Linked DNA regions of Callithrix jacchus. The protein of the gene in region 1 interacts with the protein of each later gene in a biochemical or structural test. Links are inferred from orthologs where the notes say so. Each region holds a gene or a part of one and is shown in the gene's direction. Other genes may lie near its edges.

Region 1 (5,195 bases):
CTGGTGGGAGTGTAAATTAGTTCAACCATTGTGGAAGACAGTGTGGCAATTCCTCAAGGACCTAGAAATAGAAATTCCATTTGACCCAGCAATCCCATTACTGGGTATATATCCAAAGGACTATAAATCGTTCTACTATAAGGACACATGCACACAAATGTTCATTGCAGCACTGTTTACAATAGCAAAGACCTGGAACCAACCCAAATGCCCATAGATGATAGACTGGACTGGAAAAAGGTGGCACATATACATCATGGAATATTATGCAGCCATCAAAAATGATGAGTTCGTGTCCTTTCTAGGGACATGGATGAATCTGGAGAGCATCATTCTCAGCAAACCGACACAAGAACAGAAAATGAAATACCGCATATTCTCACTCATATGTGGGTGATGAACAATGAGAACACATGAACACAGGGAGGGGAGCACTACACACTGGGGTCTATTGGGGGGAATAGGGGAGGGACAGTGGGGGGGGAAGCTGGGGAGGGATGGCATGGGGAGGAATGCCAGATGTGGGTGAGGGGGAGGAAGACAGCAAACACACTGCCACATGTGTACCTATGCAACTATCTTGCATGTTCTGTACATGTACCCCAAAACCTAAAATGCAATAAAAAAAAGAGAAAAAAAATTTGATAGTTCCATATTTCTCACTAATGAAATTCTATAATTATTATTAGTTTTTCTTGAGACAGCATCTTGCTTGGTTGTCCAGGCTGCAGTGTAGTGGTGCGATCTCCACTCACTTCAGCCTTTACCTCCTGGATTCCCAGAATCCTCCTGCCTCTGCCTCCTAAGTAATTGGGACTACAGACACACACTGCCAGCTTGTCATATCTTTCTCAGTGAATAAAACAACCTGTTTTGTTCTCTTTAGTCCTTTTTGAGTTCTTGATTTTTAGGATATTGATATTGTTATGAGTCTCTTTTTTCTTTCTTTTCCTATTTTTGCTTCTTTCCTTCCCGTCTTCCCTCCCTCCCTTCCTACTTTTCTGCTAGTATTTTGCTGTCATATATTTTTCATTCCTATTTCTGCTTTAGAACTTTAACTCACAAGAATAGTATATAACTGGACTTTTAAAAACAAAATGCTCAAAATAAGAGTTTGACTTTTATTAGGAGATGTTAACCCATAATGATGCTGATCTATTCAGGTTTATTTCTGCATTTTTGTATTCTTTTTGCATCCCCCCCAGCAATGTTTCTTGCCCTTTGTTAAGATTGAGTTTTTCTCTTTGTTCCACATATTATTACTTTCATGGTTTGAAAGTTATACATTGTATTTCTATTATGTTGTTACCCCTAAAGTTTTTGCTCTATTACGCATTTTATTTCCAGTAAGAACAAAACTTTGCTACTGTTGTGAACATATGAAGTGTTTACATTGGCTGTAAATACCAGAAATACTAGAGTTTCATTATAAAGTGCAATTTAAAGACTTTAGAATTCAGTAAAATTGTGTAAATCCAAAAGGCATAACTGTAATATTTTTAAACTGCAGTGCAATACCAGAATATGAACCTGTGTTGTGTCTTATGATCTCTTTGAAAGAGAAGCTTGGTTTTGTGATGAGCAGCAAAAAATTCAACACTAAACAGCTTCAATTTGCTTCAACCATCAGGTTAAAAAAATTTTAAGTCTACTGCAACCCTAAATATAGTTTCACAGTTTTAATACTTTCAGTACAACCATAATACATAACGTAGGATGTGATGTAGTAACGTAATTACTCTCACATTGGACTTAATCAGAAAGAATCTGCAAATTTCATTTTATTAAAAAACCCAGAAGGGAATTAAGCTAAATGTTTAACATTTGTTAAAACTGGGTGATGATGACATTTTTCGCTGTCCTTTTCTGTATCCTTGACGATTTCATCATTTAAGATGAAATAATGCTTTCGGGCCCACACTGATTTGTGGAGAGCAGCTGCCGCCCCCGCCACATTAAGGGGGCGGGCTCCAGCTGACTTCAGAATCACTTCCGCCGCCGCAGTAGCTGCCCGCCCCGTTGCTGTCTGGCGGGGGAGGAGCTCAACACCGGGAGCAGCGGCTCTGGCGGTCGTGGTGGTCGGAGGTCTGAGAGCTCTGCTCCTCTGAAGAGCGTGTGGCTTTCTGGACTTGGTGAGTGAAAGGCTGATTGTTTCCTTGATTCGTCGGTGAGCTGGCGGTGGCGCGAGTGGCCGGGCTTGGGGCTAGTGGCCAGGCATAGGGGCGAGGATTTTGGGGGGTTCCTGGGAACTGCTTTTCAGGTTCGCCCCTCGGGAAGGGGTGGGGTGGACGCGGGACCTGACTGCAGAGTGAGGCCCGTGTCCTCCATCGGCCTGTTCTGGGGCTGCATCCTCCTCTGCCAGAACCCCTTGCGTGTGGCGCGGTCCCCACTCGAGTGGCTTTCATTGCTATTGGGAGGGCAGTGGTGGTCGCGGCCCTCTCCCACTTCTCCCTGCCTCTCCTCCCCTTTCCTTCCTTCTTCCCTCCTCAGCGCCTTTGCGGAGTACTCCGTGGCCTTTCTTCCCATATTTTGCTGTTGTTTTGTCAATGGTAAATGGTTAAGATTTTTAGGTAAAAATACCGTCCCCAGGGAAAAATTTGTCAAGAAAAAATAATTATTCTCAGGGAGAAGTAGACCCATGCACGCCCTTTTCTTTCATTTTCCCTCTCCCTTGCCACATCGGTTTGGGTCTCCTGTTTGACCTGATAGCCTTTTCCCACCTCTTATTATGACATTGTGTCCCTCACCCCTCCGTGTCTCGCGAGCACGGGCGCGCGTACAGAAGCCTTGCATTGCAGCCCCCTCCTTGCCCCTCCATCCTCAAGGTTCCAGTGCGTCCCCTCCCCCACGCATGCGCAGGCACACGCAGCACACACCCTCACACTCTCCCGTGCCTTCCCCCTCCTCTACCCAGCTACCACATACACACCTCTAGCAGCGGCCCCCTCCCCTGCTCAGCCTCTGCGTGCTCTCACGAACACATGCCTGAGCACACACACCCCCTCCGGCCGCACTCCTTCTCACTGCCTGTCATATACACACATACGGACATCCTTCTATTGCTGAGCAGTGACATACATATGCAGCCACATGTGCTCATTCACACCCCCTTCTCAAATGCTCTCCTCTCCTGCTCCCTCTGTCACATGTGTCAGACACAGCTCTCCTTTGCTGGTCCCCGAGGTGCGCACACTCACACTCACATAAACCCTTCTACGGGTTTACACCACCTGCCACCCTCCTTGCCATATCCACACAGGAGGCAGACATCATTCCTTGATTGTCTGCCTCTGTTCCATCCACCTCAAGCACATCTCTCTCCGGTGCTGCCCCCCAGCCCCGGCTTCCATTTGTGCCTGCTGCATTTGCTGACACTGACATTTCTCCATTTTTGCCTCCCGTTTTGACTAACACACACACACACACACACACACACACACACACACAAACTCTCGGACACTCCTCTCCATTGCCAACCATACGCTCCCCTGCCCATGACATACACATAAACACAGGCATCCTTCTGTAGTTTCAGCTGCCACACATACAGCTACACACACAAACACCTTCCCTTTCTTCATACATCCATGCATTCCTCTCCTCCAAAGCCACCCCACCCATGCCTGTCATTTTCATACCGACACCCAGAATGGGTCTCATGCTAACACTCATACATTTTTCCCCTACAAACATAAACATCTGTCTGTTGCAGGATTGCTGGTCCCCTTCCACCTGTCCCTCTCCTCTTGACAGACACATAGGCACTCATGCACACATGGTGATCTGTATTTTCCACTCTATTCCAATTTGCATTTCTCCTGTGTGTCTGCAGTGCTCAGAAAAACGCAGACACCCCATTAAAAAAAAACCACAGCAGTCTTTCCTCTCCCCACGTTGGCACAATTTCACAGTACTTCACCCACCTTCCAAGCATCTGATCACCCCCCACCTTCCGTCAGATTCTCCCCTAAGTCTGGCTTTCCTGCAAACCTACTTTTGTAATCATTTTGCCAACATTAAAAATGTGTTCCAGGTCTACACCTGACAGTCACTGGAATGCTACTCCAGGCCTTAGAAGAAAGTGAAACTAATTTTAAAGGCCCCTTATCCTTTCTGTTACCTGCCTGCTGAAGTGAAAGTAAATCTCCCTGCTCCTTTATTCTAAACTGATTTTACTTTCCCATCTCAAAAACGTGTGCTGGGAGCAGGAGCCTTCCTACCCAAGCCCCAGCTGTATTGGAAACCCTCCAAAGTCAGAGTGATGGGTCAGGAATCTAGCAAGCCTGTATGGCCCGAACCAACAGGAGGGTATCAGTCCAATACAGGTAGGAGGTATGGAAGAAGGCATGCTTATGTCAGTTTCAGGCCATCCACAAGCCAGCGGGAAAGGATTGCCAGCCAGAGAAAGACGAACTCCAAAGTCCCAATGCACAGAACAGCCCCCAGTCAAACCACCAAGAGGAGCCGATCACCATTTTCCACAACTCGTCGTAGTTGGGACAACAGTGAGAGTTCCGGAACCACCCTGAATATTGATAATGAGGACTATTCCAGGTATCCACCAAGAGAGTACAGGGCTTCGGGTAGCAGAAGAGGAATGACCTATGGACATATTGACTCTTATGGGGCAGATGACAGTGAGGAGGAGGGGGCTGGGCCTGTTGAGCGACCGCCAGTGAGAGGGAAAACTGGCAAGTTTAAAGATGATAAGCTGTATGACCCAGAGAAAGGGGCAAGGTCTTTGGCTGGGCCATCTCCACAGTGCTCTAGTTTTAGCCGTGATGTGAAAGAGAAGCAAGACAAGTTAGACCCAGTCCCTGCAGCAAGATGCTCAGCTAGCAGAGCTGACTTCCTGCCACAAAGTAGTGTGGCCTCACAGTCTTCTTCTGCCGAAGGCAAGGTGGCTACAAAAGGTGACAGCTTGGAGAGGGAGAGGAGGGAGCAGAATTTACCTGCACGTCCCAGCAGGGCTCCTGTGAGTATTTGTGGTGGTGGGGAAAACACCCCAAAGAGTGCAGAGGAACCTGTGGTCAGGCCCAAAATCAGAAACCTGGCAAGTCCAAACTGCATGAAACCAAAAATTTTTTTTGATACTGATGATGATGATGATATGCCACACAGTACTTCGAGGTGGAGGGATACCACCACCAACAACGAAGGCCATTCGGATGGCCTGGCAAGAAGAGGCAGAGGCG
Region 2 (4,527 bases), on another chromosome or scaffold:
AACCTAAGTCCAAATTTTAATTTGCACGGAAACTGAACCAGATGAATTTTCTCATTGTAAAAAAAAAAAAAAAAAAAAAAAATGAATGCCTTGATAATATATTTGTTGTTCATAGTAGGCCTCTGTCATTAAGATTGATGCCTGAGGATGTAGTTGGATCTCGTGTGGAGCAGTAAGTTATTACTCTTTGCATACCAGATTCTAGCATACTTGCATTAGTTCATGGAATATGATTTTGCATTTAGTATTGCAGTTCCAGTGCCATTATCAGATTGCATTTTCCTACTGAATCACAAACAAAAGTGTTATGCTACTAACATTTAACAAAATTTTAATAAGGTTGTGTTTGATGCTATTATTCAGATAATGTGTTCTTTGAATATATTTGAAATTGCTTTCCTTTGAATATATTTGCATTAAAGAGGAAATCAATTTGATTTGGTTCTTTGAAGAGTTTATCCACTTTCTGGGTAGCTTTAAAAAGACAGGGAAATTCAGTTTCTTCTTTGCAAGTCAATAAATAGAGAAGAAACACATTTGCTAAGATCTGTAGAAGTACTGGCAGCAGACTGCTGATGGTTTCAGTTAATGAAATGACTCATTTTGGCTGCTTGAGTTGCACAATTAAAATACAGAGACTGCACACATCACAGATTATGAGGGATGGTACCCTAGTGTTCTCTTTTCTTTAAAGCTAATATATTACGAATTAAGAAATTTAAGAGATCCACATTATTGCAATTTTTGATGAGTCATGCCCCCAATTAAATGGTAATCTCTTGAGCGTGCACGTTTCTGTTTGCAGCATTCCTCTTGCCCATTTCTGTTAAAATTGTGGTTGTGAGCCCAAAGCAGTGGTTTTATCTTTTCGAAAAGATACACTCACTTGACAAACTACAACATTACTTAATATTGACACGTTTCGTGTTGTTTTCTCATAGTTGTCTAGCTAGAGTTTAATGCAAAATATATAAATACGGAAATAGTGAAACCGAAGTCCTGCTTGCGAGGAAAGCCTGCCGCAGACTTTGGTTTTTAACAGACTCCCCGGGGCATTAGGGAAAGTAACTGGGGGTAATAGGTTGGAGGGTATGAAATTGGGCGGAGGGACGAAAACTAAGAACCCTTGGGGCTTTTTATGTCCTCCCACATTTTGTGTAGAAATAAATGCTTTTACTTTACTTCCAAAGCCGTACCTTCCTCTTCACCTTTTTTATTTCCCCCCCCCTCACATATTGATCTTTGAGATCTTGACAAATGCTCCCGATTTACAAACGCATCATACTGTCTGTAAAACTTGCCTGAGCCTGTGTGGTCCTGAATTTAGCCACACACTTGTTTAGGGATTTTGGTTCTCGTCCTCCGCTTGCATGGTTTGGTAAGAACACTTCACTCTACTAAAAATCATCGCCCGGACCAGCAAAGGCTGCACAAAAAAAAACGCTATTTGATTTTGTACCCGCGGCAGCCGCGCAGGCGCACCGTCCAGCCGCCGCGACGCAAGGCGCAGGCTTAGTGACGCAGCGCGCAGCCTCCGCCGTCGCCGCGCGCCCCTCCTGTGGCCCCGCCCAGGGCCTGGCGTCCGCTTGTTGCGTCGACCCACATTCCCGCCGCGGCTGCTTGCGGGCCGGAGTGTTTGCCGGCTGGAGTCTGCGCCGGAGCCCGCCGCCGGTAACATGTTGCAAAAGCCGAGGAGCCGGGGCCGCTCTAGCGGCCACGCCGAGAGGGTCAGAGACTCGAGCCAAGGCGGAGACGCCCGGGCCCCCAGAGACTGCGTTGCCGAGGAGACCCCGAGCACGTCCCGCGGGTCGGGCGGCTCGCAGGGGGCGCGGAGCTCCTCGCCTCAGGGCGCCCGCGGTTCTCTGGCCGCCCCCGCCGTGGGGCCCCGGACCCAGAAGCAGCTGGAGCTGAAAGTGTCCGAGCTGGTGCAGTTCTTGCTGATTAAGGACCAGAAGAAGATTCCGATCAAGCGGGCCGACATACTGAAGCACGTCGTCGGGGACTACAAGGACATCTTCCCCGACCTCCTCAAACTGGCCGCCGAGCGCCTCCAGTACGTCTTCGGGTACAAGCTGGTGGAACTTGAACCCAAGAGCAACACTTACATCCTCATCAACACCCTGGAGCCCGTGGAGGAGGATGCCGAGGTGAGGGGCGACCAAGGCACGCCCACCACGGGCCTCCTGATGATCGTCTTGGGGCTCATCTTTATGAGGGGCAACACCATCAAGGAGACTGAAGTCTGGGACTTTCTGCGGCGGCTAGGGGTCTTTCCTACCAAGAAGCATTTGGTTTTCGGAGATCCAAAGAAACTCATCACTGAGGACTTCGTGCGACAGCGTTACCTGGAGTACCGGCGGATACCTCACACCGACCCCGTGGACTACGAATTCCAGTGGGGCCCACGAACCAACCTGGAAACCAGCAAGATGAAAGTTCTTAAGTTTGTGGCCAAAGTCCATAACCAAGACCCCAAGGACTGGCCAGCACAGTACTGTGAGGCTTTGGCGGATGAGGAGAACAGGGCCAGACCTCAGCCGAGTGGCCCAGCCCCATCCTCTTGAAATCCGAGGTGGATTCAGAGGGAATCTCGGGACAAGAGTCTGAGACCCAAAGGCACATTGTAGAGGGATGGGGGAAGGGAGAACCCAGGGAGCATATTTCTGTAACGCTTCAATGTGTGTAGCTTTAGGATGTGTTTGCACAGTTTTGTTCTTTAACGTTGTGTTATTTGGTTCCAGATTTTCATTTATAAACAAAGGAGGATTTGTTTTGTTTTGATTTTACTGTTTTTGGTATGAAAAATTTTGTTAGCTTAGTAAAACGAGTTGGAAAACTTGACTATGATCTGGAAGAGATATGCAAGAAGAAACACAGTGAGTTGCTTTGCTGCCAAGAAAATAAAAGCAAGCTAGCTATTATTGGGTCTCATAACTACCCCAGTTTGTAAGGAAAAATAAAAGGTTTTATAAAATTAAAAATAACATAATTGCCCATATCCTTATTACCTTAACCTATTTATTTTTTTTATATTTCATACATATATAAGTATTATTCATGGTTCCAAGCAATGAACATGGTATGTTTTCTCCAGATAGCAATTATTTTTATTCGTAATTATTCAGCTTGGTTGCTAAACATGTAGTTCCACTTAGTTTTTTTTCTTCTTGCTACTCTATTATAATAAATGCTGTGTTTTTGAAACAGTTAAGCATTGTGTGTTTTTAAAATCGTGTTGTTTCACTTTTGTATGTGTGTACAGGATCATGAGGTAAAATGTATTTCTCACTCTGGCTCTCAAAAAAGCTTTTAAAGCAATAGCATAACCATTAACCGTGCCTGCTTGGAAATCGGACTGCCTGGGTTCAGATCCTGGCTACACCATAACTCTGACATGAATTTACGTAGGTTCCTTGCTGTATGCAGATGTTTCCTGACCTGTAAAGTGGGTTTAGTCCCTGATGTGGAGGATTTTACTTGTCAGTTTATTCTTTAATTTGTTAATTTGGTTTTTTTTTCCTCCTTGATCTGGAGCTGCCACTTTAATTATCCTTTTCTAAATCATTCCTATGGGAACAATTACTGGTTCAAAAGGTGTATTCCTCTAGTCTGACTCTATTATATGTATAGTTTTATGGGGAAATATAATGTGTGTGGTGAGTATAACCCACATTCAACAGTGGGAGCACGAGGGTGAGATATAAGATCTACCCCTTAGGGTATAGGAAATAGCTATAGGGAAAAGGATATGGGTCTTGGAGCTGTCTGGCAAACTGAATTTGAATTATGGCTCATGCTAACTTGTCAGCATGGTGATTGTGCGGGTAGGTTTTAAGCGCGGAATCTCAATTTCTTTATCTGTAAAATGAGAAAAATAATAGCCATCTAATAGTTTGTTTTATGGACTGAATGAACTGGAAGAGTTCATAGCCCCATCGTATTCCTCCACTACATAGAGCAGATGCTGTTTTATGCAGAGGTTCAGCATCTCTGAGCTCTTTTGTAAATGAACCCATTTCTTCCATGGGTAAATAAGTGTTAATTGTTTTAGAGGGAGGTGCTGCAAATGAGCCTTGGAATACGGCAAATACTTTTCACTGGAGGATAAAAGTGAACTTCCTCAACATCGAACTGAATGTCATTTAAAAGGCTCTCCAGTGAGTACGGAGGAATATGATAGGTTACTAGGTTTTATTTCATTCTGTTGACTTGGGATTTGCATTTGTTTCATCAGCGGAATATATTTGGTCCTTGTAGGCATTTCTTGTTGATCTGCATTTTATTTCAGTGTATAAATTAATTCCTACCTTCTAGTCCCCTTACCTTCCTGACTCAGCCTTCTCCTCTTTCTGCCCTCTGATACTCAAATTCTCACCCAACAGCCATCACCAGTTATATGAGGCAAAATCGCCCCGCTTTTCCCAGAGGTGTTAACAATTCACCATCGATCACCTTGTTTCAAATTGTGAAAGAGGAAACTTCAGAAACTGTATCAAGCCCTTATGTCTTTTTCCTTCTCACTCTCCC
Region 3 (4,997 bases), about 14 Mb from region 1:
TCTAAAGAACCCATGGGTCAAAGAGGAAGTACAGGCTGGACACAATGGCTCATGTCTGTAATCCCAGGAGTTCAAGAGCAGCCTAGGTAAGGAAGCAAGACCCCATCTCTACAAAAAATAAAAAGGATTAGCTAGGCATAGTGGTATGCTTCTGTAGTCTAGCTACTCAGAAGGCTGAGGCAGGAGGAGCACTTGAGCTTAGGAATTTGAGGTTACAGTGAATTATTATCATGCCAATGCACTCCAGCCTGGACAACAGAGTGAAACCCTGTCTTACTAAAGAAAAAAAAAAAGGAACTACAAAGATAAAATCAATATATAAAAATATCAAAATACAAAATATGAAGATTGATGGGATTCAGCTAAAGCACTGTTTAGTGGGAAATGTGATTCAAATTGTTGAAATAAATTGTAAAAATGCCAACAAAACTAAGGACCTTATTGCTAGTTTCCTTCTTTGCTCTGACCACATTTTGGTCATTTATTAATTTAACAAATATTGATAAACACATATTTTATGCTAGGCTCTTAAGTGTTTAAATGTCATTTTAGCTCTAGGCTGTGGGCTTCTAGTGTAGTGTCTCTGGGTGTAGCATAGTATTTGGGACATAGTAGGTGCTCAGTATATACTTGTGGATTGACTAAAAATAACCACAAAAAGAGATCCTCCCCTTTGGTGAGAACTGTGGTCTAGATTTGGGGGCCAGGAGAACTTTCTGGAGGTAGTGTCAATAAATAATTCAATGTTAAACTTGTTCTGAAGGTATTTAACCAGAGTAGAGTTTTTAAAAAATTATTGAAACATTTTTTTCAGTTTTCATTTTCTTCCTTTTCTTGGGGAGTATGTAAAATAATGCAAGAATGCTTTCTACAGGAGTCCAGCTTTATTCTTTGGACATTTGAGTATGGTATGTAACTCTGGATACGATTTCAAAGCAAAAGTTGTTTAGACTTAAGATGTTTTGAAAAGGTTGACACATACCGCTAATACAAATGGAATTTTTTCAAAGTGGTGTGCCAGAAACAGTAAATCAGTTTGGTAAATATGTCACTGTAGACATCCAAGACAGAGAAAAATGAGGCCTAAGTTAAGGGACTAAGATGAAGGGAGATATTTCTAAGGCGAATCAATGAGAGGTGGCAAATTGCACCTGATGGATTTGGCAGAGATACTGCAGCTCCTGGCGTGACTAGAACTAGGATTTGTAAAAAGTTCGTGATTCTCTCAGCCCGTTTACAGCACAATGTAGGTGTTGATCTAGTGAGGGAGTCAATGAGATAGAGCATTGCAGAGCTTGCTAGAGAGGCACAGGAAGTCGCCTGAAGTGAAGGAGGGGGTGGCTGCTGCAGAAGCTAAAGCTTCCGCCAAACAAAAGAGGACAGCACTTCCGGTCACGCCATCGTCGCTGCCTTCTCCGTCAAGGTGAGTGTAAAGAAGGGGTCTTGGTAATTCTCACATATAAATACCGATACACTCCAGGGAGACCTCCTTTTGTGCCTCAACATGGGGTGGAAAGGAGAATTCATCCCCGCGTACGTTGTAGGAAGGATGCTTCTGACGCATGTGATTCTGATAGCTTCACTGTCTCCTCCCTTCTCCTCCGGAGATGGGAGGTCCCATCCGACTCCCCTTCCCGATTCTTGTGGTCCTTTTTATCTACCTGACTCTCGGTCATGCTTCACCTCTCTTCTTTATCCCAGATCCTCTTCTCCGGTCTGGAGGCAGGGTCATTCCCTCAATCACATTCCCTCTACCACAGGTCACTCCTATCTCCTACCTCTTACCTCCGCCTTCTGCCCCGCATCCTTTTAGCCTGCGACTCTTTGCAAGCCCCTTCCTAAACCCTGTTTTACTCCCGCTGCTGGCCTTTGGTCTTTCCCGTTCCCCTCCTCCAGAGACCAGTGAATTACGTACTTTGCAAAAGTAGGTGTGACTTCAAGGTCAAGGCTTTTTTTTTTTTTTTTTTTTTCTTTTTTGGTTCTTTTAAAGTAGAAGGAAAGAAGCAGAAACCTTAGAGCCCTAAGAGACATAGGCACTTGTTCGAATTATGTTCTTTTATTTTTTTAACTCTAAACAAAATTACACATCATTTAGATACTATTGCACAGATTTCTGTCTTCTCGTTGCATCTGTTTTTTATGTTGCCATAGGATTGAATCCCCAAATTTTTTTGGGGGGGGCGGCAAACGTAGTGGATTATACCTATAACCAGGTGTCAGAGCTTCAGAGAGCGTAAACTTTCCCATCCCCTGTAAAAGTTAGTGGAGAAATGGTTGACAGGCGTGGTATCCAGCCACAAATTTATTACTTTATATGAGTTGAGTTTATTATGCAAATTATTTTCTGGTCTCTGATAGCAGCATTAAGCACCAAGCTGACATTTTTTGAGACAAAGACTTTTTCTCAGAGCTTTGCAAGTATTACATAATCTATTTGTTGCAATATGAAATTACTTTTCTGTTACATTTGTTACCATGTCAAATTTATCTTGTGAGAACATCAGTTATTAAATAATAATCACAGTTTATTATTGCCTTTACTCAAATGATCATTAAATTTATGGTGAGAATCAGAGTTTTTCAGGCTCTATCAGAATCTAAAGAGGAATTTAACCAAAGTTTTCTTTGAACAAGCAGTTTACTCCCTCCTGTGTGTTATGCTTGCCAAAATAAGGGGTGATCCTCTTTTCTAGGCCATGGATAGTTTTTATTTAAGAATAAACAGGCCAGGCGCGGTGGCTCAAGCCTGTAATCCCAGCACTTTGGGAGGCCGAGGCGGGTGGATCACGAGGTCAAGAGATCGAGACCATCTTGGTCAACATGGTGAAACCCCGTCTCTACTAAAATTACAAAAAATTAGCTGGGCACGGTGGTGCATGCCTGTAATCCCAGCTGCTCGGGAGGCTGAGGCAGGAGAATTGCCTGAACCCAGGAGGCGGAGATTGCGGTGAGCCGAGATCGCGCCATTGCACTCCAGCCTGGGTAAAAAGAGCGAAACTTCGTCTCAAAAAAAAAAAAAAAAAAAAAAAGAATAAACAGGCTGGGCGCGGTGGCTCACGTGTGTAATCTCAGCACTTTGGGAGGCCAAGGCGGGCAGATCACCTGAGGTCGGGAGTTCCAGACCAGTCTGACCAACATGGAGAAACCTGTCTCTACTAAAAATACAAAATTAGCATGCCTGTAGTCCCAGCTACTCGGGAGGCTGAAGCAAGAGAATCGCTTGAACCCAGGGGCGGAGGTTGCAGTGAACCGAGATTGCGCCATTGCACTCCAGCCTGGGCAACAAGAGCGAAACTCCATCTCAGAAAAAAAAAAAAAAAAAAGAATACACAATGAGGCAGAGCTTTTGTGACACCAAAACCCTTAGGAACATTTCCAAAGAGTATTGCTGATGTCTGTTTATTCAAATCATTATTACGTATCATTTAAATATTATCACATTCGTTTCAGCCCACTGTGCATCTCCTCACCTGTTTTTTTCCCCACATCCCAGATATGTCATCACACAGGTAAATAACTCACTATGTATCTCTAATTTATAGGTGCATTAAGTAACCACCACATCATTATTTTACTTAGTAAGATAAATAATTTCTTCTTTTTTTTTTTTCTGTTGTTTTGTGATGAGTCTTGCTCTGTTACACAGGCTGGAGTGCAATGGTGTGATCTTGGCTCCCTGCAACCTCTGCCTCCTGGCAAGTGATTCTCCTGCCTCAACCTCCCAAGTATCTGGGATTACAGGAGCCTGCCATCATGCTTGGCTAATTTTTGTAGTTTTAGTAAAGATGGGGTTTCATTCACCATGTTGGTCAGGTTGGTCTCGAACTCTGGACCACAGGTGATCCACCCACCTTGGCCTCCCAAAGTGCTGGGATTTACTGGTGTGAGCCACTGCACCTAGTCAATAATAATTTTTTATATCATCTAATACTCAGTCTATATTCAAATTTCCATGATTGTCTTTTCTTTTTTTTTTTTTTTTTTTTTTTAATTGAGACCGGGTTTAGCTCTGTTGCCTAGGTTGGAGTACAGACATATGATCAAAGCTCACTGCAGCCTCGATCTCCTGGGCTCAAGTGATCCTTGTGCCTCAGCCTCCTGAGTAGCTGGGACTACAGGTACATGCCACCACACCCACCACACCCAGCTAAAATTTTCTTTTTTGAGACAGAGTTTTGCTCTTGTTACCCAGACTGGAGTGCAATGGTGCCATCTCAGCTCACTGCAACCTCCAACTCCTGGGTTCAAGCGATTCTCTTGCCTCAGCCTCCTGAGTAGCTGGGGTTACAGGCATGCACCACCACGCCTGGCTAATTTTGTATTTTTGGTAGAGACAGGGTTTCACCATGTTGGTCAGGCTGGTCTCTAACTCATGACCTCTGGTGATCTGCCCACCTTGGCCTCCCAAAATGCTGGGATTACACGGGTGAACCACCATGCCCAGCCTAAATTTTTTTTTTTTTTTTGAGACGGAGTTTCCCGGTTGTTACCCGGACTGGAATGCAATGGCACGATCTTGGCTCACCGCAACCTCTGCCTCCTGGGTTCAAGCAATTCTGCCTCAGCCTCCCAAGTAGCTGGGACTACAGGCGTGCACCACCGTGCCCAGCTAATTTTTGTATTTTTAGTAGAGACGGGGTTTCACCTTGTTGATCAGGATGGTCTCGATCTCTTGACCTCGTGATCCACCCGCCTCGGCCTCCCAAAGTGCTGGGATTATAGGCGTGAGCCACTGCGCCCGGCCAGCCTAAATTTTTTTATATAGAGATGGGCTCTTGAATATGTTGCCCAGGCTGGTCCCAAACTCTCAGCCTCAAGCAGTCCTCCCACCTCAGACTTGCAGAGTGCTGAGATTACAGGCATGAGCTACTGTGCCTGGTGAATTGTCTTAGAGTTATAGTTATACAGTAGATTTGTTAAGTCAGTATCCAAACAAGGGCCATTTATTGCCAATGGGTGTTTTTCTCTTAAGTCTTATAAAGCCATTGCATAGTCCC

The links. The genes of interacting proteins can lie anywhere in the genome.
Region 2: the proteins of PJA1 (region 1) and NSMCE3 form a complex in vitro, tested with the Homo sapiens proteins (2 studies listed by BioGRID). The link is inferred for Callithrix jacchus from reciprocal best matches to the Homo sapiens genes PJA1 and NSMCE3.
Region 3: the proteins of PJA1 (region 1) and melanoma-associated antigen D1 form a complex in vitro, tested with the Homo sapiens proteins (2 studies listed by BioGRID, with this or other methods). The link is inferred for Callithrix jacchus from reciprocal best matches to the Homo sapiens genes PJA1 and MAGED1.

The regions. Positions count from the first base shown.
Region 1 is NC_133524.1:66,365,787-66,370,981, reverse strand, and holds the start of PJA1 (E3 ubiquitin-protein ligase Praja-1), read left to right. Parts: upstream 1-2,018; 5' UTR 2,019-2,132; intron 2,133-4,033; 5' UTR 4,034-4,261; coding exon 4,262-5,195. UniProt on the Homo sapiens protein: Has E2-dependent E3 ubiquitin-protein ligase activity. Ubiquitinates MAGED1 antigen leading to its subsequent degradation by proteasome. May be involved in protein sorting.
Region 2 is NC_133507.1:7,525,440-7,529,966, reverse strand, and holds NSMCE3 (non-structural maintenance of chromosomes element 3 homolog), read left to right. Parts: upstream 1-1,584; 5' UTR 1,585-1,676; coding exon 1,677-2,564; 3' UTR 2,565-3,211; downstream 3,212-4,527. UniProt on the Homo sapiens protein: Component of the SMC5-SMC6 complex, a complex involved in repair of DNA double-strand breaks by homologous recombination. The complex may promote sister chromatid homologous recombination by recruiting the SMC1-SMC3 cohesin complex to double-strand breaks.
Region 3 is NC_133524.1:52,079,118-52,084,114, forward strand, and holds the start of melanoma-associated antigen D1, read left to right. Parts: upstream 1-1,381; 5' UTR 1,382-1,423; intron 1,424-4,997. UniProt on the Homo sapiens protein: Involved in the apoptotic response after nerve growth factor (NGF) binding in neuronal cells. Inhibits cell cycle progression, and facilitates NGFR-mediated apoptosis. May act as a regulator of the function of DLX family members.